7 linked regions of the Sus scrofa genome follow. The protein of the gene in region 2 purifies or fractionates together with the protein of the main gene of each other region. This does not show direct contact. Links are inferred from orthologs where the notes say so. Each region holds a gene or a part of one and is shown on either strand. Other genes may lie near its edges. The genes, in order: CDK9, DDX5, HNRNPA1, EZH2, TRIM25, SRPK1 and SNW1.

The links.
Region 1: the proteins of DDX5 (region 2) and CDK9 purify together in Homo sapiens (affinity purification with western blotting; 3 studies listed by BioGRID, with this or other methods). This does not show direct contact. The link is inferred for Sus scrofa from reciprocal best matches to the Homo sapiens genes DDX5 and CDK9.
Region 3: the proteins of DDX5 (region 2) and HNRNPA1 purify together in Homo sapiens (affinity purification with mass spectrometry; 4 studies listed by BioGRID and IntAct, with this or other methods). This does not show direct contact. The link is inferred for Sus scrofa from reciprocal best matches to the Homo sapiens genes DDX5 and HNRNPA1.
Region 4: the proteins of DDX5 (region 2) and EZH2 purify together in Homo sapiens (affinity purification with mass spectrometry; 4 studies listed by BioGRID, with this or other methods). This does not show direct contact. The link is inferred for Sus scrofa from reciprocal best matches to the Homo sapiens genes DDX5 and EZH2.
Region 5: the proteins of DDX5 (region 2) and TRIM25 purify together in Homo sapiens (affinity purification with western blotting; 3 studies listed by BioGRID, with this or other methods). This does not show direct contact. The link is inferred for Sus scrofa from reciprocal best matches to the Homo sapiens genes DDX5 and TRIM25.
Region 6: the proteins of DDX5 (region 2) and SRPK1 purify together in Homo sapiens (affinity purification with mass spectrometry; 3 studies listed by BioGRID and IntAct, with this or other methods). This does not show direct contact. The link is inferred for Sus scrofa from reciprocal best matches to the Homo sapiens genes DDX5 and SRPK1.
Region 7: the proteins of DDX5 (region 2) and SNW1 fractionate together in Homo sapiens (co-fractionation; 3 studies listed by BioGRID and IntAct, with this or other methods). This does not show direct contact. The link is inferred for Sus scrofa from reciprocal best matches to the Homo sapiens genes DDX5 and SNW1.

Annotation. Positions count from the first base shown.
Region 1 is NC_010443.5:268,275,841-268,279,882, reverse strand, and holds the start of CDK9 (cyclin-dependent kinase 9), read right to left. Parts: upstream 2,801-4,042; coding exon 2,709-2,800; intron 2,245-2,708; coding exon 2,163-2,244; intron 1,417-2,162; coding exon 1,326-1,416; intron 959-1,325; coding exon 792-958; intron 681-791; coding exon 509-680; intron 356-508; coding exon 207-355; intron 1-206. UniProt on the Homo sapiens protein: Protein kinase involved in the regulation of transcription.
Region 2 is NC_010454.4:14,578,486-14,581,240, forward strand, and holds the end of DDX5 (probable ATP-dependent RNA helicase DDX5), read left to right. Parts: intron 1-154; coding exon 155-558; 3' UTR 559-2,255; downstream 2,256-2,755. UniProt on the Homo sapiens protein: Involved in the alternative regulation of pre-mRNA splicing; its RNA helicase activity is necessary for increasing tau exon 10 inclusion and occurs in a RBM4-dependent manner. Binds to the tau pre-mRNA in the stem-loop region downstream of exon 10.
Region 3 is NC_010447.5:19,483,784-19,487,976, reverse strand, and holds the start of HNRNPA1 (heterogeneous nuclear ribonucleoprotein A1), read right to left. Parts: upstream 2,801-4,193; coding exon 2,786-2,800; intron 2,241-2,785; coding exon 2,124-2,240; intron 1,831-2,123; coding exon 1,684-1,830; intron 1,554-1,683; coding exon 1,343-1,553; intron 1,252-1,342; coding exon 1,159-1,251; intron 1,074-1,158; coding exon 981-1,073; intron 872-980; coding exon 797-871; intron 523-796; coding exon of another isoform or gene 364-522; intron 1-363. UniProt on the Homo sapiens protein: Involved in the packaging of pre-mRNA into hnRNP particles, transport of poly(A) mRNA from the nucleus to the cytoplasm and modulation of splice site selection.
Region 4 is NC_010451.4:109,383,751-109,387,815, reverse strand, and holds the start of EZH2 (histone-lysine N-methyltransferase EZH2), read right to left. Parts: upstream 2,801-4,065; 5' UTR 2,678-2,800; intron 2,654-2,677; exon of another isoform or gene 2,630-2,653; intron 1-2,629. UniProt on the Homo sapiens protein: Polycomb group (PcG) protein. Catalytic subunit of the PRC2/EED-EZH2 complex, which methylates 'Lys-9' (H3K9me) and 'Lys-27' (H3K27me) of histone H3, leading to transcriptional repression of the affected target gene.
Region 5 is NC_010454.4:33,198,941-33,202,440, forward strand, and holds part of TRIM25 (E3 ubiquitin/ISG15 ligase TRIM25), read right to left. Parts: coding exon 3,446-3,500; intron 2,001-3,445; coding exon 1,829-2,000; intron 1-1,828.
Region 6 is NC_010449.5:31,698,506-31,702,540, forward strand, and holds the start of SRPK1 (SRSF protein kinase 1), read right to left. Parts: upstream 2,801-4,035; 5' UTR 2,473-2,800; coding exon 2,460-2,472; coding exon of another isoform or gene 1,932-2,459; coding exon 1,871-1,931; intron 1-1,870. UniProt on the Homo sapiens protein: Serine/arginine-rich protein-specific kinase which specifically phosphorylates its substrates at serine residues located in regions rich in arginine/serine dipeptides, known as RS domains and is involved in the phosphorylation of SR splicing factors and the regulation of splicing.
Region 7 is NC_010449.5:100,739,415-100,742,914, reverse strand, and holds part of SNW1 (SNW domain-containing protein 1), read left to right. Parts: intron 1-2,470; coding exon 2,471-2,632; intron 2,633-3,500. UniProt on the Homo sapiens protein: Involved in pre-mRNA splicing as component of the spliceosome. As a component of the minor spliceosome, involved in the splicing of U12-type introns in pre-mRNAs.

The sequences.
Region 1 (4,042 bases), on a different chromosome or scaffold from region 2:
TCAGCTCTGAAAGGTTCAGAAGCCTCGCCCAAAAGCATTGACCTAACCGGTGATGGAGCCGGTGAACACAGTCCATGTGGCCCCAAAGAGCAGATTGTGACCCTCCGCCAGCCACCTCTCCCTCTGCTCCCCGCCCTGCCCCTCCTCTACCAAGGAGAGGTCTGGATCTCTGCAGCCTGCGGGGCCCAGACAGCCTGGCGACGCACCTCAGGGGTGATGGAGCCACAGAGCTGGCTGATGAGGGCAAGCTGGTGCTGCTCCGTGTTGCCCTGCATGATGGGGCTGCGTGTCCACATCTCCGCCATGATGCACCCGGCACCCCACAGGTCGATGGGGGGGCCGTAGTCCCGCTCCCCTGAGAAGAGCACACCAGGAGGGCCCCTTGAGCCCGGCCTCCGGAGGCGCGGGGCCCCAGGGCCGGCAGCTCAAGAAGCCCAGGCAGGGGGGAGCGGAGGCTGGCTAAGGGCCCAGCCTCCTGCCCCTCCTAGGCCTGCTCAAGCGTCCTCACCGAGCAACAGCTCCGGGGGCCGGTACCAGAGCGTCACCACACGGTTGGTGTAGCGGTTGGGCTGGCTGTTCTTGGCAAGGCTGAAGGCCCGGGCCAGCCCGAAGTCGGCCAGCTTCAGCACCCCGTCGCGGGTGATGAGCACGTTGGCCGCCTTCATGTCCCGGTGCAGGATCTGCGGGAAGCACACGGGCGGGGGTAGCCAGGGGCCCTGAGCCGCACCCACCCCGCACGGAGAGCCCAGGCCAGCCTGGGTCTCCCCCCGACCCCCGACCCCGGCCCCCACCTTGTTCCTGTGGATGTAGTAGAGGCCATTGAGCAACATCTGCATGACCCGCTTGATCTCCGACAGCGTGAACTTGACTAAGACGTTGCTCAGCAGCCCGGCGAGGTCATGTTCACAGAAGTCAAACACCAGGTATATGCTGCCTTTGCAGCGGTTATAGGGGGAAGCTGAGTCAGGAAGCACGAGGGAGAAAGAGAGGGGTGGGAAAAAAAAAAAAAAATCAAAAACCTCACACGCAACTCATCTTCCCACAACCAGCTCCTACCCCCTCCAACCTATGGACAGTGGGTATGTGGCTGCCCATTCCTGCACGGGTAAAATATTTTCTGAGTGCTTCTCTGGGCCGGGCGCTGTGGCAGGCCCTGGGGAAGCACCTGCTCCCACAAAAGGACCCGGGAAAGCAGTTGCAGGTGGTGTGTCTGGGTTAAGAAGAGGCAGTGAAGTGGGTCCGGTTCCAGCTCCGCCAGCAAAACCTGAGGCGAGAAGCCTCATTCTCCCCACCTGAAAACGGAGGGCAAGATCCAAACAGCTTACCTTTGGTTCGACAGATCTCAATCAGGTTGACCACGTTCTCGTGTTTTAGGAGCTGGAGGATCTTGATTTCCCGCAAGGCCGTGATGGGGAACTGGGTGAGAGAAAGACAAGGAGGTCAAGAGCGGGAGAGCACACTACTGACCCAGGAACTGGCCATGGGATCCACAGTAAGGGTCGAAGGTTGGGAGACAGAGTCAAATCGTGGGCTCTGAAATGAGCTGCCTCAGATGCCATATTTAGAACACGGGCATACTAGTAGAAAGTACCCCTTCGGGAGCTGGTTTCAGACGATGACTTGAAGTTTTGCTACTTCACACAAATGCTTTATGACTAGCCATTAAATGCTGCACGGTTTCTTTAAACTCATAATGTAGAGCTCTGCACCCGTGTTTAACCTGTTACATGGTTAACAAGACAAAAAATAAAGAAGCAGGTCTTTGGGAAACTGGACTAGAGCTACGATGGGGGGGGGAGCATTTCAATTGAATACCAGTTACTCTTTTAGGGCTATGACATATGATTTTTTTTTTTAAACATTCGACAAAAGTAAAGCCCAAAGGAAAAGTGTTTAAAAACTTCCTAACTTCAGGAACCAGGGTGCACTCAGTGCAAGCATGAGCTCCCCCTCCTGGCACCAACCACGTGCACCTGAGAATGAAACATCAAACTCTTTAAAACATTTGAATTAAAAGATTTAACCTGAAAGTCAGATTCCATAGAACACAGAAATTCCTAAACACATAAATTCAACCTCAGCATGAAAGTCCCAGAAGCAGGGTGGAAACCCAACCTCTGCCCAAGGGACCTAGCAGGCCTGCCCACCCGCCCCGTACTCACCCCCTCCTTCTCGTTCTCCATCAGTACCTTCTTCAGAGCCACCTTTTGGCCGGTCTTGCGGTGCTTTGCCTTAAACACCTCCCTGCAGGCCGAAAGGGGGACCCAAGAGGACTCTTGAGGCCGTTTCCGCAGGGCCCGCCCCGCCCCCACCAGAGGAGGGCAGGAAAGGGAATCCCGGGCGGGGCTGGGCCGGGTACAGAGGGCCCTCGGCTACACCAACGCGCGGTATCTTCGGTCCCTCTCCGAGCCTCTATTTCCTTCCCTTTGCCCTTTCTCCTCACCCAGGCGCCGCTGCTGGGAGAGATCCCGCTCCACTCACAGGCTCCTCTCTGCAACCCCTCCCTGCCTCCCATCAAGGGCCTCAGGCTCCTCCCCGCCAGCCGGCTCGGTCAGGCACGGGCGGGCTGCGGTGCGGCCTAGCGAGACCAGGGGACAAGTTTGCGGCTAGGTGGCTTCCCAACCAACTGGACACGGGCCTGGGCGTCTCGACATCGGTCCAGAGGGGTGCAGGCTCAGGGCTCCTGGTCCCTGGGGGCCCAGCCTTACCCGAAGGTGCCTTGGCCGATTTTAGCGAGCTTCTCATATTTGGTCACCTCATCACAAAAGGGGCACTCCACCGAGTCGTACTGCTTTGCCATGGCCGCCTCCAGTGCGCCGCCGCCACCTCCAGCCGCCGCTGCCGCCGCCGCTCCCGCTCCGGGTCCCGCCGCCGTGCTCCAGGCCCCTCCGCGGCCGCGCCACTTCCGCCTCCACGGCCACTTCCGGCCCCGCGGCGCCGACCCCGCCTCTTCCGTCCGCCGTCCGCCGCCAGGCCCCCTGGGACTTGTAGTTCCCGGGAGGCCAGGAGGAGCCGGAGCTGCAGAGGCGCCTCCGCCACCGCCGCTGCCCCCGCCTCCGCCGCCGCCAGTGCTGGCGGCGGCCCCGATCGGGGGCGCGGGGAGCCGGGGCGCCGGGGCTGGGGCTCGGGGTGGTGCGTCCCGCTGCATCGGCTCGGGCCGCCGCTGCTGCCGAAGCCGCTGCCGCTCTGGCGCCCGATCCGGGGCCAGCCGCAGTGCCCTGCTCCTCCTCCTCCGACGGCGCCGCCTCCGCCAGGCTGCGCGGGGCGGCGGGAGGGGGGCGCCCCCCAAGCCTCGGCCTGGGGGCTCCCTGGCCGGGCCCGGGCCCGGGGCGGCCGGACGAGGGGGCCAGACGGAAAGAGCCGACGAGGAGGCGGCCCGAGAGCCCGGGAGGGGGCGCGTTATAAAGGGGGAGGTGCCCCGGCCTCGCCCTCCCCTCCCCCTCCGCCCGCCCCCTCCCTCCTCCCTCCCACCCTTCGCGGCCGCACCTGCCGCCGCTGCCGCCGCCGCCGCCGCCGCCGCCACTGCCGCCCGCCCGCCCGCTGTCCGCCCGCCGCCCTCGGCGCGTCACCGCCCGCGGCCCCTCCTCCGCCTTCGGAGGTGGGGCCCCGCGCTCCACACCTGGCTGCTGGGCGACTCGCCGCGTGCCTCAGTTTACCCACACATGCCAGCAGCTTCAGGGAACCCCTTCCTTCCCAGCTCCGGGTGCCCCCCTACAGGCAAAGGAGGGAGGCGCCGAGGAAGCAGCCTCGGGTCCAGAGAGGAGAGAACGGCCCCCACCGCCCGCCTCTCCGGGCCCCCGCCGGCCGCCGTTGATATGGCAACCGATGGCCGCCAGGGGGCGCGGCGACATTGGAGGCGGCAAGCGAGCAACTCCCGGGCCCCCTATTCTCTGGGAGGCAGGGATGAGGCCCAGGACCCCCGTCCCAGCTGAGCTGTGCCCAAGATGGTCGTGCCTGGGTCGGTAGTCACAAAAGTAGCCAGCATTTATTCGACAACCCTTGTGTGTTCAGCAAGTGCTGGGCATTCCTGCGGAATCCTGAA
Region 2 (2,755 bases):
GCCTACAGATCCATTTAAATGGGATTGGCGGGTGAGTAAAACCTTCAGTGCAGAGTGAAGTTGAGAAAATACTTCTCAAGAGTAGAGCTACCAATTCCTTTATGTTGTGATTTGTGCCATAGAAATAATCGATTTGCAATTTCTTTCTTGACAGGTCGTTCCAGGGGTAGAGGAGGCCTGAAGGATGACCGTCGGGACAGATACTCTGCGGGCAAAAGGGGTGGATTTAATACATTTAGAGACAGGGAAAATTATGACCGAGGTTACTCTAGTTTGCTTAAGAGAGATTTTGGAGCAAAAACTCAGAATGGTGTTTACAGTGCTGCAAATTACACCAATGGGAGCTTTGGAAGTAATTTTGTGTCTGCTGGTATACAGACCAGTTTTAGGACTGGTAATCCAACAGGGACTTACCAGAATGGTTATGATAGCACTCAGCAATATGGAAGTAATGTTCCAAATATGCACAATGGTATGAACCAACAGGCATATGCATATCCTGCTACTGCAGCTGCACCTATGATTGGTTATCCGATGCCAACAGGATATTCTCAATAAGACTTTAGAAGTATATGTAAATGTCTGTTTTTCATAATTGCTCTTTATATTGTGTGTTATCAGACAAGATAGTTATTTAAGAAACATGGGAAATGCAGAAATGACTGCAGTGCAGCAGTAATTATGGTGCACTTTTTCGCTATTTAAGTTGGATATTTCTCTACATTCCTGAAACAATTTTTAGGTTTTTTTTGTACTAGAAAATGCAGGCAGTGTTTTCACAAAAGTAAATGTACAGTGATTTGAAATACAATAAATGAAGGCAATGCATGGCCTTCCAATAAAAAATATTTGAAGACTGAAATAAGTGGAAATGGTACTTTATTTTACATATATAATGTCATGTAAAACTTGGCTTAGAAGGTGTGTTTTGTTTTTTTTTTTTTTAATCGTAAGAACTAAATTTACTGCTCCTTTCCATGATGTAGTTTTGGGGAGTGGGGAGATCAGAAGGCCTTTCTTACAGTTATCTATTCCTATAGCAAAAGATTAAAATTAGATTGATTTAGGTTAACAATTCTAGACTAAATTGTAAAGGCTTTGCCAGTACCCTCCAACATCAGGTGAGTCATTTAATAATGGTTTATTTGTTGGCAGAATGGTAAAATGAGGTACTGCAACATAGGAAATAATGTAACTATATAGCCCTACCCTCTGGCAGTTTAGTGTGAGAATGTGGATGATTTTGTTCATACTGCAAAATTTATAATTCAAAAATCTCCAAATACCTTTTTTTTTAAGAGACTATATATTTGTGCTGATAGCTATATTAGAAATAACAAATACTGAACAAAGCTGAAAGGCTATACCTTTTAGGGTGGTTGGCCAAAAAGTAAGTTTGAATTTGTTTGTTTTCAGTAGTCTTGGTGCTGACTGCTGTCAGGTAGTAATAGAGATGCTAGTCTTCACAGGTTTCCTGGGACTCCTAACTGAGTAGTGAATGTCCAGTAATTCAGGGAACTTTAGAGGACTTCAAACTGTAAGGTCTGTTCATGTTTAAATAAACATACACCAAAAAATCCTCAAGATTTAATTAATGGTTAACCTAGAGGAAGCCACATAACCAAAAAGCACAGTGACTGTAATCCAGGTCCTTTCGTGAGGGTCATCATGGGTTTATTGCTAGAAAGATTCAGCAGGTAGTTTTAGATTTAACTTTGGCTCACCAACCTTTCTAACACTTAATTTCAGTGATGGCTAGAAGTAGGCCTGAATGTCTTCCCAGAGAGTCTGGCACTTAGGTTTTTTTGCAAGGAGAGGAGAGGTCTTCCTTGAGATTTCATTTAAATCCTGATGATTAAAGTGAGACTTTAATTGGTGTTAATGCCTTATCTCTAAAGTGTAAAATGGGAATTTTCCTGGGGCAGGGTAAGGAGTGGCATTTTTAGGACTAATACATTGAAAACTGATTCAGCCTCTAGTAATTGAACAGTTTTCAATAGCATGATTAGTCAAATTCATTATGACTTTTAACTTATAAGAAGCTTTTGGGATAGGTTGGAGTATTTATTACATATTTTACTGTTTAATGTCTAACGTGGGCCTTTTAATTTGTAAACATTTACTGAAATGACTGTGGGACTGTGGAAAACATTTACCTATTTACCTTTGAAGTTTTAAAAGACAGTCCACTTTTTAGCATGTGTGTTGTGTCCAGCCTGTGGTTGTCTTAACCTAATAAATGTGATTTTTCTCCCTGTTCTCTCTTTTATTTATTTGCGTATAGGCCTCTTCCCTGGTGTGTTTTCCTGGGTGTGGAAAACACCTTGTTACCCAGCTCCACAGTTAATTACTATAATTGCTTTGGGGCAATATTGTTTCTAGTTTGTTTTTTTAATATGAAAAACTTCATACACATTCTTGTATGGAATGATTTCCTGAACCTGTCCTTCGCCTTGCTCATGATGAAGAATTTTGACTGTTGCGTGTTTACTCAATTGCTAAGCTGCTGTACGTAGTGGAATACAGTAGTCTCTTTCACCTGGGTTAACCTTTCAAGGTTAAGGAAAGCTGGAAATAGAAATTACGGGGTCTGGAATCAGCTATTTTCCTCTAGCTGACTTGTACCACATCTCCACTATTGGCAGTTTTCCTAAGGTCTGTAAAAATGAAAAGTCATCAAGCTGGCCAGGTACTCCTGCCACTCTGTTTTAAGAAGGTTTTTTATGAGTTTGTCTCATGTTTTGTTTTAGAAGAG
Region 3 (4,193 bases), on a different chromosome or scaffold from region 2:
ATTCAGTTGAATAATCCAGTAGCTAGAAATTTACCCCTGACTCACCATGGTAGAGCAAGTAGTATAGTCTCTAGCCTCGAAGGCTGTTGTTACCCATCCAGGGGCACCGCAAACACATGCTGGATACATCAACTAAGTGCCTAAATAAAAGCTAACCTAATCCCGATTAACTGTAGGCACCACTATCCCCCTTAATCTATTTGGGAGTGAGGCGGCCCCAGCTTAAAGCTAGGAGGAGGTAGCATTGCAAGCCCATTAAAAGAAAGTACCATGCAGTAAAACACATTATGCCTAGAGAGCATCAAGTTCCCATATGGCTAAGCTAGCTATTTGCACCAAGTACTTGGATCACTGGATACCTACCACTACCACCGCCAAAGCCGCCTCCGCCTCCTCCGTTGTTATAGCTGTCATAGCTGCCACTCCCGCCATAGCCACTGCCCTGGTTTCCATAACCCTGTCCACCACTTCCATAGCCTCTGCTTCCTCCAGAGTAACCAGGGCCGCCTCCTCCATAACCACCTACAAGAATACAATTCTTCTCAATAAGACACAAGTATTCAACATTCAAATTCTGTGCAAGCATGATGGCTAAAGGCCGGCTCACAACATGCTGTAAGAGTCAAACTTGAACTTATCATGCACTAAAGTTTTAGTATCTACTAGCCTATTCTAAAAGTAGTCAAACTTTTTACCTGTAGTTTCTTAAAAAACAAAAAAATCCAACAACAAAACGAACTAAAAAAACCCACACACGCACACACAAAATTTTAACAGTAAAAACAAAAAAACTTACCGTCATTACCAAATCCATTATAGCCATCCCCACTGCCACCATATCCACCACCACCACGACTGCCACCAAAGCCACCTGGAACAGAATTTAAAAGCCAGGTTTGAAGTATGTGGATCGCATACAAATCACACCCTTCTAAGCCTAAATTCTAAGAAGCGTTAAAATAATAAAAAACCATACATACCTCGACCACTAAAGTTTCCCCCACGACCAAAGTTGTCATTTCCACCAAAACCACCTCCACGACCACCACCAAAGTTTCCAGAACCACTTCGACCTGAAGAAAAAAATGTTAACGTTAAATTGTACCGGTTAAAATCATTCAAAATGATGCTTAAGGTTTAATTAAGCAACAAACTCACCTCTTTGGCTGGATGAAGCACTAGCCATCTCTTGCTTGGATAGGGCTTTCCTCACTTCACAGTTGTGGCCATTCACAGTGTGGTATTTCTGAACTGAAAAATTTGAAAGTAAGACACCATCTCAGAGTTTAGGACACAAATGGATTTCAGAACTCTTAGCGAATGCCAACCACCTGCTACTTACTGACAATCTTGTCTACGGAGTCATGGTCATCAAAAGTTACAAAAGCAAAACCTCTCTTTTTGCCACTGCCCCTGTCCGTCATGATTTCAATCACTTCGATTTTCCCATACTGTTCAAAATAATCTCTTAGGTGATGTTCTTCAGTGTCTTCTTTAATGCCACCAACAAAAATCTTTTTCACAGTTAAGTGGGCACCAGGTCTTTGAGAATCCTAAAGGGGGAGAAAATAGTAACAATCCTAAGACCATGTTAATACTAAGTCTGTTACATCCCCTTAATGTGAGTGAATCCTGCTAATCGAACATTTCCAGTCGATGAAACACAAGAAAAACATCACTTACTTCTCTTGAGACGGCCCTCTTTGGTTCCACAACTCTTCCATCCACCTTGTGCGGCCTTGCATTCATGGCTGCATCCACCTCCTCCACAGTGGCATACGTGACAAACCCGAAACCTCTGGAGCGCTTGGTGTTTGGGTCCCTCATTACCTTTAATGTTTATTTAGCACATGGTAAGACACCAGAAGTTACAGCCTTTTCTACCTTGACTAAGGCAATGGAAAACTTTCTACCAACCCTCTAAACGAAGCTCTTCAATGACCACCGCCCCCACCCCTTAAACCTAACAATTGGGAGCTTTTCAGCTATGAAGCCACACCTTCCTTTGTCAAGTAAGCTATAAAGTCAATAGGAATCTTCATAAGCATTCAAACAGCAACGACAGCGAGATAAGCCAAGAAAAACAACTAGCTCTAAGGCCTTTTGTCTCTTCCAAGTCTTACCACACAGTCTGTGAGCGTTCCCCATTGCTCAAAATGGCTCCTCAGACTCTCATCGGTTGTTTCAAAGCTCAAACCTCCGATGAAGAGCTTCCGCAGCTGTTCGGGCTCTTTGGGAGACTAGAAGTAGGGGCAAAAAAAGCGTTAAATAGGGCTATAACGCAAACAAGCTCCCCGCTACAAGAAGCAACACCAGGTAGCAACGTACGAAGCTTTTATTGTTCCCTCGGGTCGCTGTAAGCCACGTGCTTCTCCCCATCTGGGGAGGCGGTATGTTGGGGGCTGGGAAGCGGCGAGCGCATGCGCCCCTTACTCTCCCTACGACGCACGCGCAACAAAAGGACTGGGAGGGCGTGCATCGCCAAAATTGGACTACAGCTACTCTTTAAGAAAGTCGTCCACTAGGACAAGGATGAAAAACAGACCGAATGTGTCCACGAGCATTGCAAAAAAGAACGAGAGCAGCGTGATAACCAAGGATTGCACGACGACAGCCTCATGGCGACGAGGACAAAATGGCGACCTGAACTCAGGGAGGGGTAGGCCCCGGCAGCGACCGAAGAACTGCCGAAAAGGCTGGTGCAAGCAGCCAAACCAGACTGCACCCTACCAAACTCAGCAAGCGGCGAAGAAGAAAACGCAGATGAAAAAAGAGTCTCACTCACCTCTGACTTAGACATGACGGTAGTGGGGAGGAGGTTACAACGATGCTTACTCGGCGGCGTCCGGGGGCAGAAAGGAGTAATCTAACGAACGAGTCTGCCAGCCTACCTTCGGCCTCGCTTTTTTATCCCGCCTCCTCGCGTTCGGCATTGGTAGACTCCGCCCCTGAGTAGCTCTGATTGGATATTTGACATAGCTTTCCCCCACTATTGGTCTCTCGTATGCGTTGCTGTGTAACGTCATCCGTTTGGGCGTTCTACGCAGTCTCAACCCCTCCCGGTCCATTGGTTCCTAAGTAATATTATTCTTAACTAGACTGATTGGCTGGTCAACCAATGATTCATATTTGAATTATTTCGGGTATTGAGATAACTTTTTAATTAGCTATGTCCGGAATATTCAACGCCTGTGTCAAAGCATTTTTAATACTATGTATCAAAAAAGTAGCTAGCATGTGACAATTTGGCGGAACGGGGGCGGGGGCAAGATCGCCTGCTGAGCGCATGTGTAGTAAAATGGCGAGTTTACGCAGGCGCGCTAAGAAGTTCCGCCCGGAGCTTGCAACACGTGAAATGGCGGGCAGGAGACAGCGGCGAACCTAAGGCGCCTGCGTAGTGGCGGGAGTTGTGCCCCCTTTTGCGCAGGCGTAATGGGCGGGGAAAGGGTCGGGTCCCAGGATTGGTCGCGCAGGCGCAGGGAAGGATCCGTTTTGGCGGGCGGTTGGCGTTGCGCAGAAGGCGGCGGCGGCGGTGGCTTGTGGTCCGGCCGCACCACAGAGGAACAGGCGAGGCGTTAGCGTGAGTGATCGGTCTCGACCCCCGGTAAGTGGCGGACCATCTTGCCTACCCATACGAGGTCTTGAACTGACTCCAACTGGGCCCGTTATTGTGTGAAATGAATGGACCTCGGGGTGGGGGCTCGTGAAGGGGGAGCGGTGAGATCGGCCAACCAATGGAAGAACGGGGGCGGGATGTTTTATCCCCGTAGGTTCTGTGGAGCTTTGCAGCGGAAGAGTTTGACTGGCGAGTGTATAGGCCAATTGGGGCTGTCCTTAGCTGCCGACTCATCGGTCCTTGGGCCATCGGTATGTGGGAGGCGGGCTTTCTCCTCCTGAGCAGCATCTCACTGAGCCAATGAGCACGAAGCGCGCGGTAGGTTGGGCTCCTCCAAGAGGCCACGATTTGACTCCAATGGGGGATGCGGGAGTTGGGCGGTTAGGTGGATGGACCAAATCGGGAGCCAGTAGGCGAGCAGCCTCTGGAAAGCGCTCAGGCTGTTCGTCCAATCAGCGCTCCAAAAGAGGGAGGTCTTAGATTTGGGGATGCGAGGAAGGGGATTCAATGCCTGTGATGGCGCGTAGGGGCTATTTTATTCACAATGACTTTAACAAAACCTGTGGGCCTCCGTGCC
Region 4 (4,065 bases), on a different chromosome or scaffold from region 2:
CAAATCCACTGGTCATTTCTAATTAACCCCAGAATGCATGAGATCAGAGGATTTTTTTATTGCTGTTGATTTTTTAAAAAATCAACTTTCTTAATTACCGCTTTTTAGGCCAAGATGGAAACTAATTCGTTCTCCTTAAGCATGCCAGCTCAAAGGATGGAAGATATCCTAGAAAGCCTCAGTGTAACCTGGGGAAATCTGCCTAAAAATTTTAAGTGGCCAACACAAAGACAATCACCTATATGTATGTGTGCAAGGCAAAGCTGATATCAAAGTATTACAGCTTTTTTGTGTGCCTAACTTCACTAAATCAACAAGTGTGGTTTTTTTAATCACTGCTACTTAAATACATTTTCAAATCAAATAAAAAATTAAAAACCAATTCCCCCAAAAAAACTTAAAAATAAATCTTGTGGCAACTACAAAGACAGTAATTGCCAAATATAGTGTACACAAACAAGTAAGGAAAAACTGCAATTTCTTATCCTAAAAGATCCAAATATCTACCAAAATCTCCCTAACTAGCTCATCTTATAACAAGAGGCCAGATTATCAGGAGGACTTTTTAATAGATAATTACTAGCAACTAATACAGTAAACAATACTTAGGACAGCACCTGGAATGTCTGTTCAGCGGTGTCTAACACTGCAAAATATGTAATAAAGACTTTTACACTGCATTTCTTTGTCTCCATATTTATGAAACCGTAAGATGGTAGGGTGAACATTAGATCATCAGATAGAACAATGCAAATCGGTGCTATGTTCCTAAATTCCTCTTCTTTGAAGATATTCCCCTGCCACAAAGACTAGAATTTAAGATGCCATTTTCCTAAGTGTTTTCAAGAACTTAAGCATTAAATTCCCAAATACACCACCACAAAGAGAGAAAGGATTCTTTACATCCAGGACTAGAACCCTACCTACTCCTAACTTTAGGTAATATGAAAAGGAAATTAAAATAGGTCATAAATACTTTCATTTTCTTGAAATAAAATTATCAATAAACTTGTTAGGATTACACACTTGTTCTACATTTTATTTCCAAACATAAAATAGTTGCTAACGGTGATGAATGAAGAGTAGTGGAAAATAAACTCCAAACCCCCTAGCTCCCTGGTGGTCTAATGGTTAGGATCCCACACGCTCTTAAAATCCCTTAGAAGTATAGCCTACATTCAACTGTATCAGCATTAGTGTTTTTTAAAGATTTTCTTAAATGGTGTTTTATGTGACATTAAAAAGCCACAAAATTAATCCGATAAATGACCTTTAAAACCCAGAAAGTAAACCTTGAAGTAAAATATTTTTAAATACCAAAGACATATCTTTGTTTCCAAATGACTTAAATTTTACAGATCCTGTGTGACAAACAAAGGAAGTTTAGCTTAACTGTGGACAGCACACGTTCAATTTCTTAGGCAACAAACATTTCTGTAGTCAGTCTTTTCTGACTCAACAAAGCTATTGTTCACGGAAAACAAGACCAATTAATGACGAATTGCTAACCAGACCACCTAAACACACATTTGTCATAAACATTTTGCTTGATCAATTCTTTCTACCATCGCATCCTCATTCAATCCCTGGGGATTTGGAGAATAATCTCTTACTAAATGACAGTTGATTTCGTTAGCACCTGTCGCCAGTCTCAGATGTATCACATAAGTTGGCCGAAAGAGCATGTAATTTTTTAAAAAAAATATGATTCTTTAGAAAGCGGGAACTCAGCAGGCGTGAGTTCACCAAGTTTTCATTTCAAAATATCATGCTTCTCGATTCCTCCAATTTTCAAAAAGGGACCTGATGGCACCGACTTTTTTTGGGGGGGTGGACAATGACGCGGAAACTCGACGAAAAGCCCTCCGAAACGAACAAAACCGAGCGGGGGGAGAACGGCTCGACCCTTCCTCAAACTTAACAGAAAGCCAGCCGAGGGGGTAAAGGCGGCCGGGACCGCCTCGTCAGAGCGGGTGGAGACGAGGGGTTCGGGGGTGCTTTCCGGGGAAATGTCAGACCCGCAGCCGCTCCGAGTTCGGTTCCCAGCGCCGCCCCGGCCCCCTCGGCCCCGGCCGAGCCTGCGCGCTCGCGGGGAGGGGGCGTGGGGCCCAGCCCGCCCCCTGCGCCGCGGCCCGCGCTCCCCACGCCCCTCTCCCGCCCGCTGTCAGGCCCGGGTGTCACTGCCCCTTCCCCGCGCCGAGCTCCCCCGAGACACAGTCCGTCCTTTGTCTGAGTGTGCACTCGGTGCCGAGGTCCCACCAACTTGTGTGCGTCCCGTCCCACCCGGGCGCTCCCGCCGCGACGCTCCACACAAAGGAGACAGGGGCTCGGGCGGCCGGCCCGCCCCGAGCACCGGAGCGCCCCCAGCCCAGCCGCCGCGCCTCCCGAAGGGCGGGCGCGCGAGAAGACCCCTCGGCTCGCCCCCCAGGGCGCCCGCCCGGGGTCCCGCCTTAGGTCGCCAGGTGCGGCGCTGCCCGCCCCCGCGGTCGCGCGGGCCAGCCCAAAGCCACGGCCCCTTCCGAGGGGTCTCCTCTCACCCCTCCAGCCAAAGCGGCGCCCCGGGAAAGCCCGCTCTGGGCGATACCCGGAGGGGTGGCGGGGATATCCCGGCGCCGCCGCCGCCCCTCACCGAGCTTCGGAGCCCCGCTGGCCGGCCGGCCCGACAGCGGCACGCTACCTGAGCCCCGCGCCCCAGCCCGCTCCGCTCCCGCGCGCCGCTCCCGCGCGCCACCACCGCCGCCGGGCTTCCACCGCCTTCTGCGTCCCAGTGGGTGTCGGACGCTCCCGGACCAAGCGCCAAACCCGGCAGCCCAATCGCCATCGCTTTTATTTGGCCCCCCCTGTCCAACTAAGCGCCGCCCCGATTGGCGGGCCGCGAGGCGGGCTCCCGTCCAATCACAAGGCCCGCCGGGCTCCGTGGCGGCGAGCCAGCCCCACGCAGAGGAGCCCGCGGGACTCAGCCGGGCCGGGCCGGCGGCGCGTGCGCGCGAGCGGGCGGGCGCTGAGGGACGCGGCCGCCGAGTGGAAGCGCTGCGCCGTCTCTTTGTTCTTTCGCCGAACGCACGGCGCCTCTCAGGAAGGCGGTGGGTCGGCTGGCTGGGACGATGGGGCCTCTGCAGCCCGAATCCCGGGCCGCGGGCGGGAGGCGGCCAGGGCAGGATGGCGGGAACCGACCAGGGGGCGGGACGGCGCGCTCGCGGCGCTTGGCGGGAACCGCCGGCAGCCTCAGAGTTCCCGGGCCGGAGGGGCGGGGCGGGGCCGATAGCCAAGTTTGAACCAGTTCAAAACTCGGGGGTGGTAACGGTTTCAACTGCCGCGCTCTTTTCCCCGCGCGCGGAGCCGAAGCGCAGGCCGGCCGGCGGACGCGCGCGAGGTACCCCGATTGCCGGCCAGTTACGCTCTGCGGTCCGGGCTCCAATCTGGTTCGTTTCGGGCGAGGAGCCCCGAGCCTTTCGCGGTCTGGTCGGACTGGCGCGCCGCCTCCGGTGCGAGCAGAGCGCTCTGCCAGCTACTTTTTCTGCTAAGCCCCTCAGTGGCTTGGCCCGACTCAGATCCCCTGGCCCGCTGGACTTTGGTTGGTCGAGGCCGCAGTGCCCATCTCCTTAGAAACCTGGGAAACAGCAGCCCTACTGTTATTTCAGTTTCCTCATTCTGAGCGCCTTGTTCGGCACCTTCCAGCGTTTGTAGTTCCAAACACGTGTCAACGTTAATCATTTATCAGGGGTGAGTGGGGTTCACTTGCCTCGAGCTAACGCCTCTGGAAAAAATTGGGATGATTGCAGCATCTTTCAAGTGTTAAAAAAAAAAATGATCTGCGGGTGAGCCTGTATCAACCCATAAGAATTAGAAATATTCTGTTTAGGATGCAGTTTCCCCTTTTAATTTATCTGACAGTGAAGGTAAGGTTATTCTGAATTTTCTTTTTTTTCTTTTTAGGGCCTCATCCGAGGCGTATGGAGTTTCCCAGGCCAGGGGTGGAATCCGGCCTACACCACAGCCACAGCAACTCAGGCTCCAAGCCGTATCTGCGACCTACTCCACAGCTCAACAAGGCCAGGGATCTAA
Region 5 (3,500 bases), about 19 Mb from region 2:
TACTTCGGGGCTGGACAGATAGACAGGGCCTGACCAGGCAGGGGCTTGAAAGCTGGGGTCAAGGAGTCGGGTCCATAATCTAAAAGCAATGGAAGTTCTCTGAAGAGGAGGTAGAGGAGAAGGTCCTGAGAGATCAGATTTGTATCCTGAAAAGCTCTCTCCACCTGCAACAGGGGTGGACGCAGAAGGGGCTCGTTAAGAAGCTACCGCAGGTGCTGCAATGGACAGCAGGCCAGTGTGGACTGGGGCTTTATTTTATTTTTGCTTTTTAAGGGCTGCACCTGCAGTGTATGGATGTTCCCAGGCTAGGGGTCAAATCCGAGGTGTAGCTGCTGGCCTACACAGATCCGGTCAGTCTGCGACCTAATCACAGCTCACAGCAACACCAGATCCTTAACCGACTGAGTGAGGCCGGGGATTGAACTTGCATCTTCGTGGATACTAGTCGGATTCATTTCCACTGAGCCACAATGGGAACTTCCATCAGGATATATTTTAGAAGCCAAATCTGATAATGGGTGGATATAAGCGGAAGAGTAGGGGAAGAATTCCATGTTTCTCTGACCCCCAAATTAGCCATTTCCCTACCAAATCACCCCACAACCCAGAATCCATTCAAAACCCATCTGAGCCAACCTCAGACTGTAATGGAGCAGGACCCCATGGGGTCCTTCTTCCCAAAAGAGACCCTTCTCCCCACCCAAACAGGCACTCTCCACCGGTCTCTCTTCTGTAGAAAACCTTTAACCTCCTAGGCCTTCCCTCAAAGAGTAAATTTAATCATAGAAGTGAGACAATGCAGAAAGAAAGGCAAACAGTCAAGCAAGACAAAACAATAAGAGTTTAGGAGTTCCTGTCGTGGCACAGCGGAAACGAATCCGACGAGGAACCATAAGGTTGCAGGTTCGATCCCTGCCTCACTCAGTGGGTTAAGGATCTGGCGTTGCTGTGAGCTGTGGTGTAGGTTGCAGATGCAGCTCAGAACCCGCATTGCTGTGGCTGTGGTGTAGGCTGGCAGCTGTAGCTCTGATTGGACCCCTAGACTGGGAATCTCCATATGCCGTGGGTGTGGCCCTAAAAAAAAAAGACAAAATAGACCAAAAAAAAAAAAAAGAGTTTAGTCATTAAACAAAGTCAAGGACATTTAGCTCCTCCTCAAGGGCTACAGACAATAATCTGAGCCTGATCCTTGAGCTGTTTTGCAGATACTGAAACCCCCACTGGAAGGAGGAAGTTAACTGTGTGCTGCCCACAAACACGTAAACCCCAGACAGGCAGGAACCAAAAGGTTGATGTTTATCTCACCACCCACCAATCAAAACGATGTCCACGAGCTAATCACACAGCCCACAACCCCACTCCCTCACTTTGTTCTTAAAAACCTTTCCCTGAAAGCCTTTGGGGAGTGGGGGGCCTTTTAAGCACTAGCTACCAGTCTAGCCAGACTCCGTGTTTGGTATCTTGCAACACACACCGCACTTTCCATCATCACGACCCCGTGTTCGTCACTTGGCCTGAACGCACTCGGGTAAGCAGACCCAAGTTTGGTTCCGTTACATGACTCAGACAGAAAGAGCCCATCTAGAAAGTCCCATCACAACATCCAGCCTCCAAAAAGGTTTTAGGAAGGATGGCTACAATCTCAGGATGAGGCCAAGACTCCCTAGATGGAGGACTCTCCTAGATGGAGGACAACTGTCCTGTAACCCCTGAAACTCAAGCCCCAGTTCTTCAGATCAAGAGCCTCTCTCCCACCCCAAGACGCCAAAGGGACCCCTCCCCATTTCTGGGGTGCTGGGAGAGAGCCCGGGAGGTTGCCGATGGCTACCTGGGGCAGTGGGCTCCTCGGGCTTCTTGTCCTGGGACTGTCTGAGGTACCGCTTCAGCTCATTTTTGAGGTCGGAGGTGCCCTGACAGACGCCCTTTATCAGCTCATGGTTCAGCTCCACCTTGGGGACGTAGACAGGCTTCGTGGTGATTCCTTGTAGTTTTGCTGCTTTCTGCAACAAGCCAGGGGGTTAGTCCAGGCCACTTTGGGGAAGCTGGGGCCAGGACTCAGGCTTCATATGAGAGCCCCAGAGGAGTTTCCCTTTGCCACAGGTTCTAAGTCCCATCGGTCTCTCAAATTAGAGCCAGAAGTCGCTGGAGGTTAAAGTACCACTTTGAGTTCGATCCTGAAATCCTATAAAATTGGATGTGATATTCATTGTACAACTACAAATGTAATAAATTCACTGAGTAATAATAATAATAAAAAAAAAAGTTCGATCCTTGGTCTCGCTCAGTGGGTTATGGATCCGGTGTTGCCATGAGCTGTGGTGTTAAGTCACAGACGCAGCTTGGATCCCGTGTTGCTGTGACTGTGGCCATAGGCCAGCAGCTGCAGCTCCAATTTGACCCCTAGCCTGGGCAGCTCTAAAGGCAAAAAAAAAAAAAAAAAAAAAAAAAAGAAAGAAAAAAAAAAAAAAGAAAAAGCTACAGATATTACTAAGATCCTGAATCTTTGAGTTAATCAGAAAGATGATTCTCCTGGGTGGGCCTCGCTTAATCAGGTAAAAGTCCTTAAAAGAGGGACTGGGCTGGAGGGAGAAATTCTTTTTTTTTTGGCAGTGCCCCTAGTAGTTGGAAGTTCCCAGGCCAGGGGTTAAACCCACACAGCAGCAGCAACCCGAGCCACAGTAGTGACAATGCCAGGTCCTTAACCCACTGAGCCACCAGGGAACTCCTTTCTGCTGGTTTTGAAGTAAGCTGCCAAGCTGAGAGAGGGTCATGGGGCAAGGAATCAAGGCAGTCTATAGGAACTTTAAGGGGACCTGGCTGACTGCCAGCAGGGACACAGGGACCCTGGTCCTGCACCACAAGAGACTGGATTCTGCCAACAAGCTTGTGAGCTTGGAAGACAACCCTGAGCTCCATAAAGAATGTAGCCTGGTGAGACCTAAGCCATGACCCTGAGCCATGGAAAGTGTGAGGTAACAGACAGACGTTCTTCTGAGCCACTCAATGTGTGGGAAGTTGTCATGAAATGTTGAAAACTGGAGTTCCTGTCGTAGCTCAGTGGTTAACAAATCTGACTAGGAACCATGAGGTTGCGGGTTCGATCCCTGGCCTTGCTCCGGGGGTTAAGGATCCAGTGTTGCCGTGAGCTGTGGTGTAGGTCGCAGACGCGGCTCAGATCCCACAGTGCTGTGGCTCTGGTGTAGGCTGGGGGCTACAGCTCCGATTCGACCCCTAGCCTGGGAACCTCCCTATGCTGTGGGTGCGGCCCTAAAAAGACAAAAGACGAAAAAAAAGAAATGTTGAAAACTAATACAGTATGTATCCCAGGGATGTTTCCCGTGACCTCCCACAGCCCCAAGTCCTGGAGGGTCTCCCGCCACACCGCCTAGTCCACACCATCACGCCAAGCAGAAAGAGGGTTCAACAAGGTCCGCCTACAACCCACCTCCAGAAACTCAAACTCGTCCCCCTTAGTCAGGGCAAGTTCCACCTCCTCCTTC
Region 6 (4,035 bases), on a different chromosome or scaffold from region 2:
AAACAAACAAAAGGTAAAATGATCAAGAAACACTATTAATTGAAGAAAAAAAGCACTTCTGAAACTACAAGTAAATGGGGATGACTCAAGGAGTCAAAGTTGTACAAAATGAAATATTCAGTAAAATAACTGCTAATTAACTATACTATTCACTCGCTTTTGCGCAAGTACATAAATAATTAAGAACACAAGTAACTCTTAGTTATCCGCAGTAGTGAAATGGAGGAATAACAGATAATCCAAAGGACATATATTCAGCTTTAGAAATAAAGTATATGGTCTAAATAGATAATCCAAAGTAATAAATATCTGGTGTTAAAAATAAAGTATATGATCACCCATACATATTTATTTCCTCTGGAGAGAGATCAGACAGATGAATTCTAAATGATACAGTGAACAATAAAAATCACCAGCTCCTTACATCAGCAGTAAACCTATTGTTTTATAACACATTCATATCAACTCCACAGGGAAGAAGGTAACCACATGCCCTGCCAGTGGGGTGCACACACATGCACAGAGTAACATTTAAATTCCAATGCATAGAAGAATGAGGTTAGCTCCTCGCTGTTTCATTAAACCAATCTGAGAGTAAAAACTGGTTTTTGAATCATCCATACCTGGATAATCAAGAAGCAAATAAGTACACAAACATATATAGATAAACTCACATTTAAATGCATTAAAGTTACCAAGCACTTTACAAAGTAAGTTTAATAAGACACTGCATAGAAATGAAGCAAGAGGTGAGGTCACCTACCAGTTTAGCTCTATTTATGTCATTTTTGCTCTCTGGAAACATTAGGTAGCCACCAAAAACAACACACACACACACACACACACACAACACACACACACACACACACACACCCATTTGGCATTGCCATTCAGAAAGGAAATCCAGGAAAGCCTGTGAAATAAATTTTATTGCTCAGAAAGACTTAGATGGTGTACTCCATGTAAATCCAAATAAATGGAATGAAAAGCTATCAGGAAAAAAATGCATATTTTTCTAGAAGACAATTTCCAAAACCCTCTGCAATTAAACGTGAGTACAACATAAAAGTTCTTCAGACTAAGAAGAATTGCAGAAGCCCTCTACTGGGCGTTTCTAAGAAGCTCTGGCCAACTTTTGTGTTTCCCACAATAGCACTAAACCACGATTATGCATCCTGCTGATAAAAACGGACATACACCAAACCGTAATCACCAACAGCGCTGACTAAAGAACCTCCCTGGCACCTCTGTGATGCCCACTACAGAAGGTATGTGCATTCAGGGCGAGGACTTGAGGTTCAGGAAGAAGAGACCCAGTGGTCTGCCTGCACTCGGCAAGGAAAGCGATGCGCCTGGCAGGCTCAGCAAGTTGCCTGACCCGAGGGGAAGCTCCATGCCCTCTCCTATAAAAAGCAGACCAAATTACGGAACATTCATTCACGAATTCCCTGACTGCCTAACCTCAGATGTAGCAGGCAAGTGAAGACGCTGGGAAGCAGGTGTGGAAAAGGGAGCAGAGTTCACAAGCTGATAATGATCTACCACCTCCGTGGGGAGGCCCAAATTCGGGGATCTTGGGCCTCCTCTCTGGCGTTGGGAAGGTAAATGGACAGGTCGGGCTCTGGTCCTCCCCCAAAAGCCCTTTCCTGCAGGCGTGGGGCTGCTCAGACCCAGACCTGGCCTTCAGCAACAGAAGCTCCGTTCCACATGGTTGGGGGGGGGGGCGACCCTCCTTCAGCCGCCTCGAGGCCATGTGGCTGGGGCCGCAGGGTCCCCACACCCGCTGCATGTTCAAGGCGTGAAACCGGAGGAGAAGAGGTGCCGGAGGGGGGGGGACCCAAAGAATGGGACGTTGGGGTTCGAGACTCACTTCCTTTGGGCTTTGTCCTTCTTGGCCTTGGTCCTTTTCTTTCGGGCCTGGAGCGCAAGCACTGCAGGAGAGAGGGATGGATGAAGGGCGAGTGGGGAGGAAAGGAGGCGGCCAAGGTAAGGGTGGAGACCCAGCTGGGGCTCGAGGCCCGGATGCGGGGCCTGCCTGAGGATCAGCTCCGGGGCGAGTGCCGCGAAGTCGGCCGGGCGGCCGCTCAGGGGGCTGGGGGCCCACCCCGCGCAGAGAAGCGTCCAGGCGAGGCGCGCCCGAGGGGGCTCGGGCCGTGTCAAGGGGCTGGCTGGCGGGGGTCGGCCTCGGTCGCCGAGGGCCGGGCCCTGGAGTGGCCGCGAGGCGTGGGCCGGCGGGGCAAGGAACAAGGGGCGATGCCTGCCGGCGCGGAAGGACGCCCGGGCTGAGGGGCGCGGACCCGCAGCCCAAAGGCGGGGGTTGCGGGGCGGCGCCACCTCGGCGGAGGACCGCCGCACACCCGGGGACCGGACGGCGGCGGTTAGGCCAAATTCCCGGCGTTGACCCGGGCCTCGCCCCGGCGGCCGCTGCCCCTCGTGGCGGAGGCCGCTCCACCGCTCACCTTTCCGCTCCATGGCGAGACCGGTAACCGCCAGGCGCCTGCGCACTGGAGTGGCGGTGACTCCCGCTCCCGCCGCGGCCCCAAACCAAGCCCGCGCACACCCCGCCCCCCAGTTCCCGCCCCGCCCCCGCCCACGACGGCGCGCGCCTGCGCGTTGAGCGCGGAGCCTACCACCTGCTCCCGAGACGGGGGGGGGGGCGTAGAGAATAGGGGAGGAAGGGGAGGAAAGAACGCCTCGGGTGAATGTTCCCGGGGTGTTTGAGAACCAAACTTGGAAGCTTGGGAAGATCAGCTTTGTTCTATTTTCGAGCGGTTGCTTCTGAGGAATGGCGAAGAGCGTGGCCATTGAGGGTTCCCTGCGTGCTGAGTCAGAGCTCCGCAGCCAACTGTAAACTGCCTCCGTTTCCTGGTCTGTAAAATGGAATAGTCCCAGGTGTGTCCTAGTTAGTCCAGAGAGTTCTTCTGAGGGCCAAATGAGATACTATATTAAGAAAATGGGTGTATATGTACATGTATGGCTGATTCACTTTGCTGTACACCTGAAACTAACACAGCATTGTAAGTCGCCTATACACCAATAAAATTTATTAAAAAAATTTTTTTGGAGTTCCCGAGGTGGCTCAGTGGTTAAGGAATCCGCCTAGGAACCATGAGCTTTCGGTTAGATCCATGACCTTGCTCAGTGGGTTAAGGATCCGGCGTTGCCCTGAACTGTGGTGTAGGTCGCAGATGCGGCTGGGATCTGGCGTTGCTGTGGCTGTGGCGTAGGCTGGCGGCTACAGTTCCTATCCCTAGCCTGGGAACCTCCATATGCCGTGGGTGTGGCCCTAGAAAAGACGGGAAAAAAAATGGGAGAAAGAAAAGGAAGTGGGAGCAACACACAAAAAAAGACTGGAAGGAACCTGTGATGTTATCGTATCAAAAAAAAAAAAGTCGAAAAGTGAGTTTTCTTTTAAAATTTCAGGTTTAAATGAAGGTATTAAAGGAAGCGGGAGAATAAAAACTTATAGTGTTTTCTTAATTTAGCACTTCATCATCTTTCCACAGATAAATGCACTTGTCTTTTTTTAAAGAATATTTTTATACTTTTCTAAGTGCATTATCTTTGATAATACATTTGATGTTCATGACAGCTTAAAGGCAAGATAGTTATTACTTCCACTGTAGAAACAAAAACTTGGAGGCGATATGTACTCAGAATTTTGGTGTCCTGAAGCATTGATTGAATTATCAAATCCTTGTTGTAAAGTAGTATTAACAAAGTTTTTCTGTAAGGGGCCATATAGTAAATATTAAAGCTTGTGGGTCGTAAAGTTTCTTAGCAATTCAGCTCTGCAAGTGGAACTCAGAAGCTGTCAGTGTTCTCCGAATACCTTATTTATTATCCTTGAAATTTGAATTTCATGTAATTTTCATGAATCATCAACTATTCTTCTGTTGATCTTTTTTTTTTTTTTTTTTTTTTGCATTTCTTGAGCCGCTCCCGCGGCATATGGAGGTTCCCAGGCTAGGGGTCAAACAGGAGCTGTAGCCACCAGCCTATGCCAGAGCCACAGCAACGCAGGATCTGAGCCGC
Region 7 (3,500 bases), on a different chromosome or scaffold from region 2:
CTCCAGTGGCTCAGGTCACTGTTCTGACACAGGTTCAGTCTGGTGGCCCAGGACCTTGCACATGCTCTGAATGTGGCAAAAAAAAAAAGAAAAAACACTGTGAATGCTTCTTGAGGGGAGCAAATGTTCTTGGAAGAAAGCATTTTGTTCTAGTTTTCAAAGTAAAAGCTATGATTTTCTGGCAAGCTTAATGATTACCTAATGCAACAACTACAGTCCTGAAGTGCTTATTTTAGTTGAAGAACTCTAGCAAATCTGAGCATGTGTCAGAATGATGGCCCAGAGTACAGATAGCACCTTTCTTGGGAACGTTTTAACTATTTTCTGCCTAATTTACAAGAAAATGTCTCCTTTAGCTTTATTGTTTAGTTAAAAAAAAAGGCAAACCTTTCTCTAGCAAGTAAGCATTTTGTACCTAGAAAGTCATATATCCAGGGTCTGATGGAATATTTCTTGAAGAAAGAGGTAATATAAAAGTGGCTATTTTCATAATTTTTTTCATCAAACCCCTGCCAAATGATTGATATTAATATATTTTTCCTGTCGTATTTCAGTTTAGCAGAAAATTCAGAGATTTTTTTTGAAGTCAAATGATCTGGGTCAGGGAGTTCCCTGGCGGTCTAGTGACTCAGACTCGATGCTTTCACTGCTGGGGGGGAAAAAAAAAGATCTGGGTTCAAGTCCTGCATAACTACCATAAAACCTGGGAAAAATATCATTTTTAACTTAGTTTATCTAAAGTTGAATTTTTTCCATAGGAAATATGAGGCTTTTAAGAATTATAAGACAATATGTGTGGATTATATTTTGTACATTATAATAAGGTACTAAGCAAATATTAAATCTAACAAAAGTATTTAATGTTTGGTATTCATGTATTAATTTGATGACATACTTTTTTGTATTATTAAACTTCATCAACAGACTTTACTTAGCTTGTTTTACTTTAGAAATCTTTTTTTTTTTTTTTTTGTCTTTTTGCCATTTCTAGGGCTGCTCCCGTGGCACATGGAGGTTCCCAGGCTAGGGGTCTAATGGGAGCTGTAACTGCCGGCCTACACCAGAGCCACAGCAAGGCAGGATCTGAGCCATGTCTGCGACGTGTACCACGGCTCACAGCAACACCAGACCCTTAACCCACTGAGCAAAGCCAGGGATCGAACCCGTAACCTACTGGTTCCTAGTCAGATTTGTTAACCACTGAGCCATGACAGGAACTCCTTACTTTAGAAGTCTTAATTCTCTCTTCTAAACCATTGTATATAATCATCATTAGAAATGTGGTGAACTCATTTCCTATTTATCCGCTTCTCATGGAACACTGAATAAATAGTACATTATTAAAATCTGAAGAAGAAATATAATTCTTTACATTTCTGCTCTAACTATAGCTTGACTTCTATAGTGAGTTCTTCACAAAGAAAATTATGTATGCTAAAACAAAATCTTTTTCTTATGCTAAACAATTTGCCTAATTTCTTCCTGCCATGTACATAAAATCCATATCCTTGCCGTGGTTTAGGATCCCTTTCCTGATCTGGTGTTTGTCTGCTCATGCAGCTGTATCACCTATGTGTCTGCTCCTCTGCCCTCAGTAAGCTACAGCCCCACTGGACATTCTTCCTAGAACATGCCAACCTCATTCTTTTTTTTTTTTTGGGGGGGGGTTTGTCTTTTGTCTTTGTTGTTGTTGTTGCTGTTGCTATTTCTTGGGCCGCTCCCGCAGCATATGGAGGTTCCCAGGCTAGGGGTTGAATCGGAGCTGTAGCCACCGGGGCCTACGCCAGAGCCACAGCAACGCGGGATCCGAGCCGCGTCTGCAACCTACACCACAGCTCACGGCAACAACGCCGGATCGTCAACCCACTGAGCGAGGTCAGGGATCGAACCTGCAACCTCATGGTTCCTAGTCGGATTCATTAACCACTGCGCCACGACGGGAACTCCAACCTCATTCTTGCAGCAGAACCTTCTCACTTGCTGTTTGAATCTGCCTAGTAAATGCTTCCCGCAGATCCTCCCATGACTGATTTCTCATCATTCAGGCTTCAGTTCATGTTACCTCTTCACAAAGACTATCTCAACCACACTATTGAAAATAGCCCCTCTTCCTAGTCCCTTTCTTGCTTTCAAGGTGTTTATTACAAGCCAAAAATTATGCTTTTTATGTTTTTTCCTACGGAAATGTACACTCCACAAGATCAGGAACTTCTGTTTTGTTTACTGCTGTATCTCTAGCGTCTAGCATAATAAGGGCTAATAATTATTTGTTGAATGAATGAGTATATGTTGAATCTCAAATTACTATTAAATATTCTTTTTTGGCCACATCCACGGCATGTGGACATTCCTTGGCCAGGGATCAAACCCAAACCATAGCAGTAACACCACCAGATCCTTAACCCTCTATGCCACCAGGGACCTCTTCAAATTATTATTAAATAAATTCTTATTTCTTTTTAACATATAGGATTTTGGAGATGGAGGTGCTTTCCCAGAGATCCATGTGGCCCAGTATCCTCTGGATATGGGACGAAAGAAAAAAATGTCAAATGCACTGGCCATTCAGGTGGATGCTGAAGGAAAAATTAAGTATGATGCAATTGCTCGACAAGGACAGTCAAAAGACAAGGTAACCCTCTTACTAATTTTTTTTTCTCCATTGATAAATACTGTACGAGGAGTTTTTTTAATTGTGTGAAAATGATAAATCTCTGGTCATTTAGTTTATGTTAAAAATAACAGTGAAGCATACTTAGGCTAATTAAAAGTGACTTCATAATAGCAATGACTTTTTCCTTCGAAATTCCCCAAATTGATAATAGCTTATATATACTTAGGGTTTGTATGTATTTGTTTTACATTTTTAAAATAATTCTTTTTTTCTTCCAGTTTTATTGAGATATAATTGATGTACAGCACTGTATATTAAAAACAATTCTTTTCTAGTACTAACTTTTTTAAATGCTAGCAAATTTTTAAAATCCTAGCACCCTAAAAATGTCAAAATTTAGTTTTGTCTATAGTTTCTTCTGTTTCTCTTCCATGGACTCATAAAGTACATAGATGCTTAATTATTTTAATGGTTCGTTTGAATATAATCATACAAACTTCTTTCTCACTTAAGCACAAAACTAACACATGCTGGTTTTAGCATGGGCCTGCTTACAAAGTAATCCAAAGACCAAAAATAAAGTTTTACTTAAAATTATCTCATCACAGGGCAGCCACACTCAGAGCAAAGGAACTCTGCTTTAAGATCGAGTTTTTTTCTTATAAATAAATACTCCAAATAGAGGTTTAAAAAAAAATCTTTTTAGAATTGAAGATATTGGGGAAAGTACTTAATCATCAGAACCTGTCCTTTGTCTCTTCTCTTTCTCTGAAACATTTTCATTTTACCCTCTAAGACAGCAGTAATGATAAACCATCCTTTGCTCCTATGTCATGGCTGTTGAGCTTTGGGGGGAAACAATTAGGCAGTCATACAAATTTATATC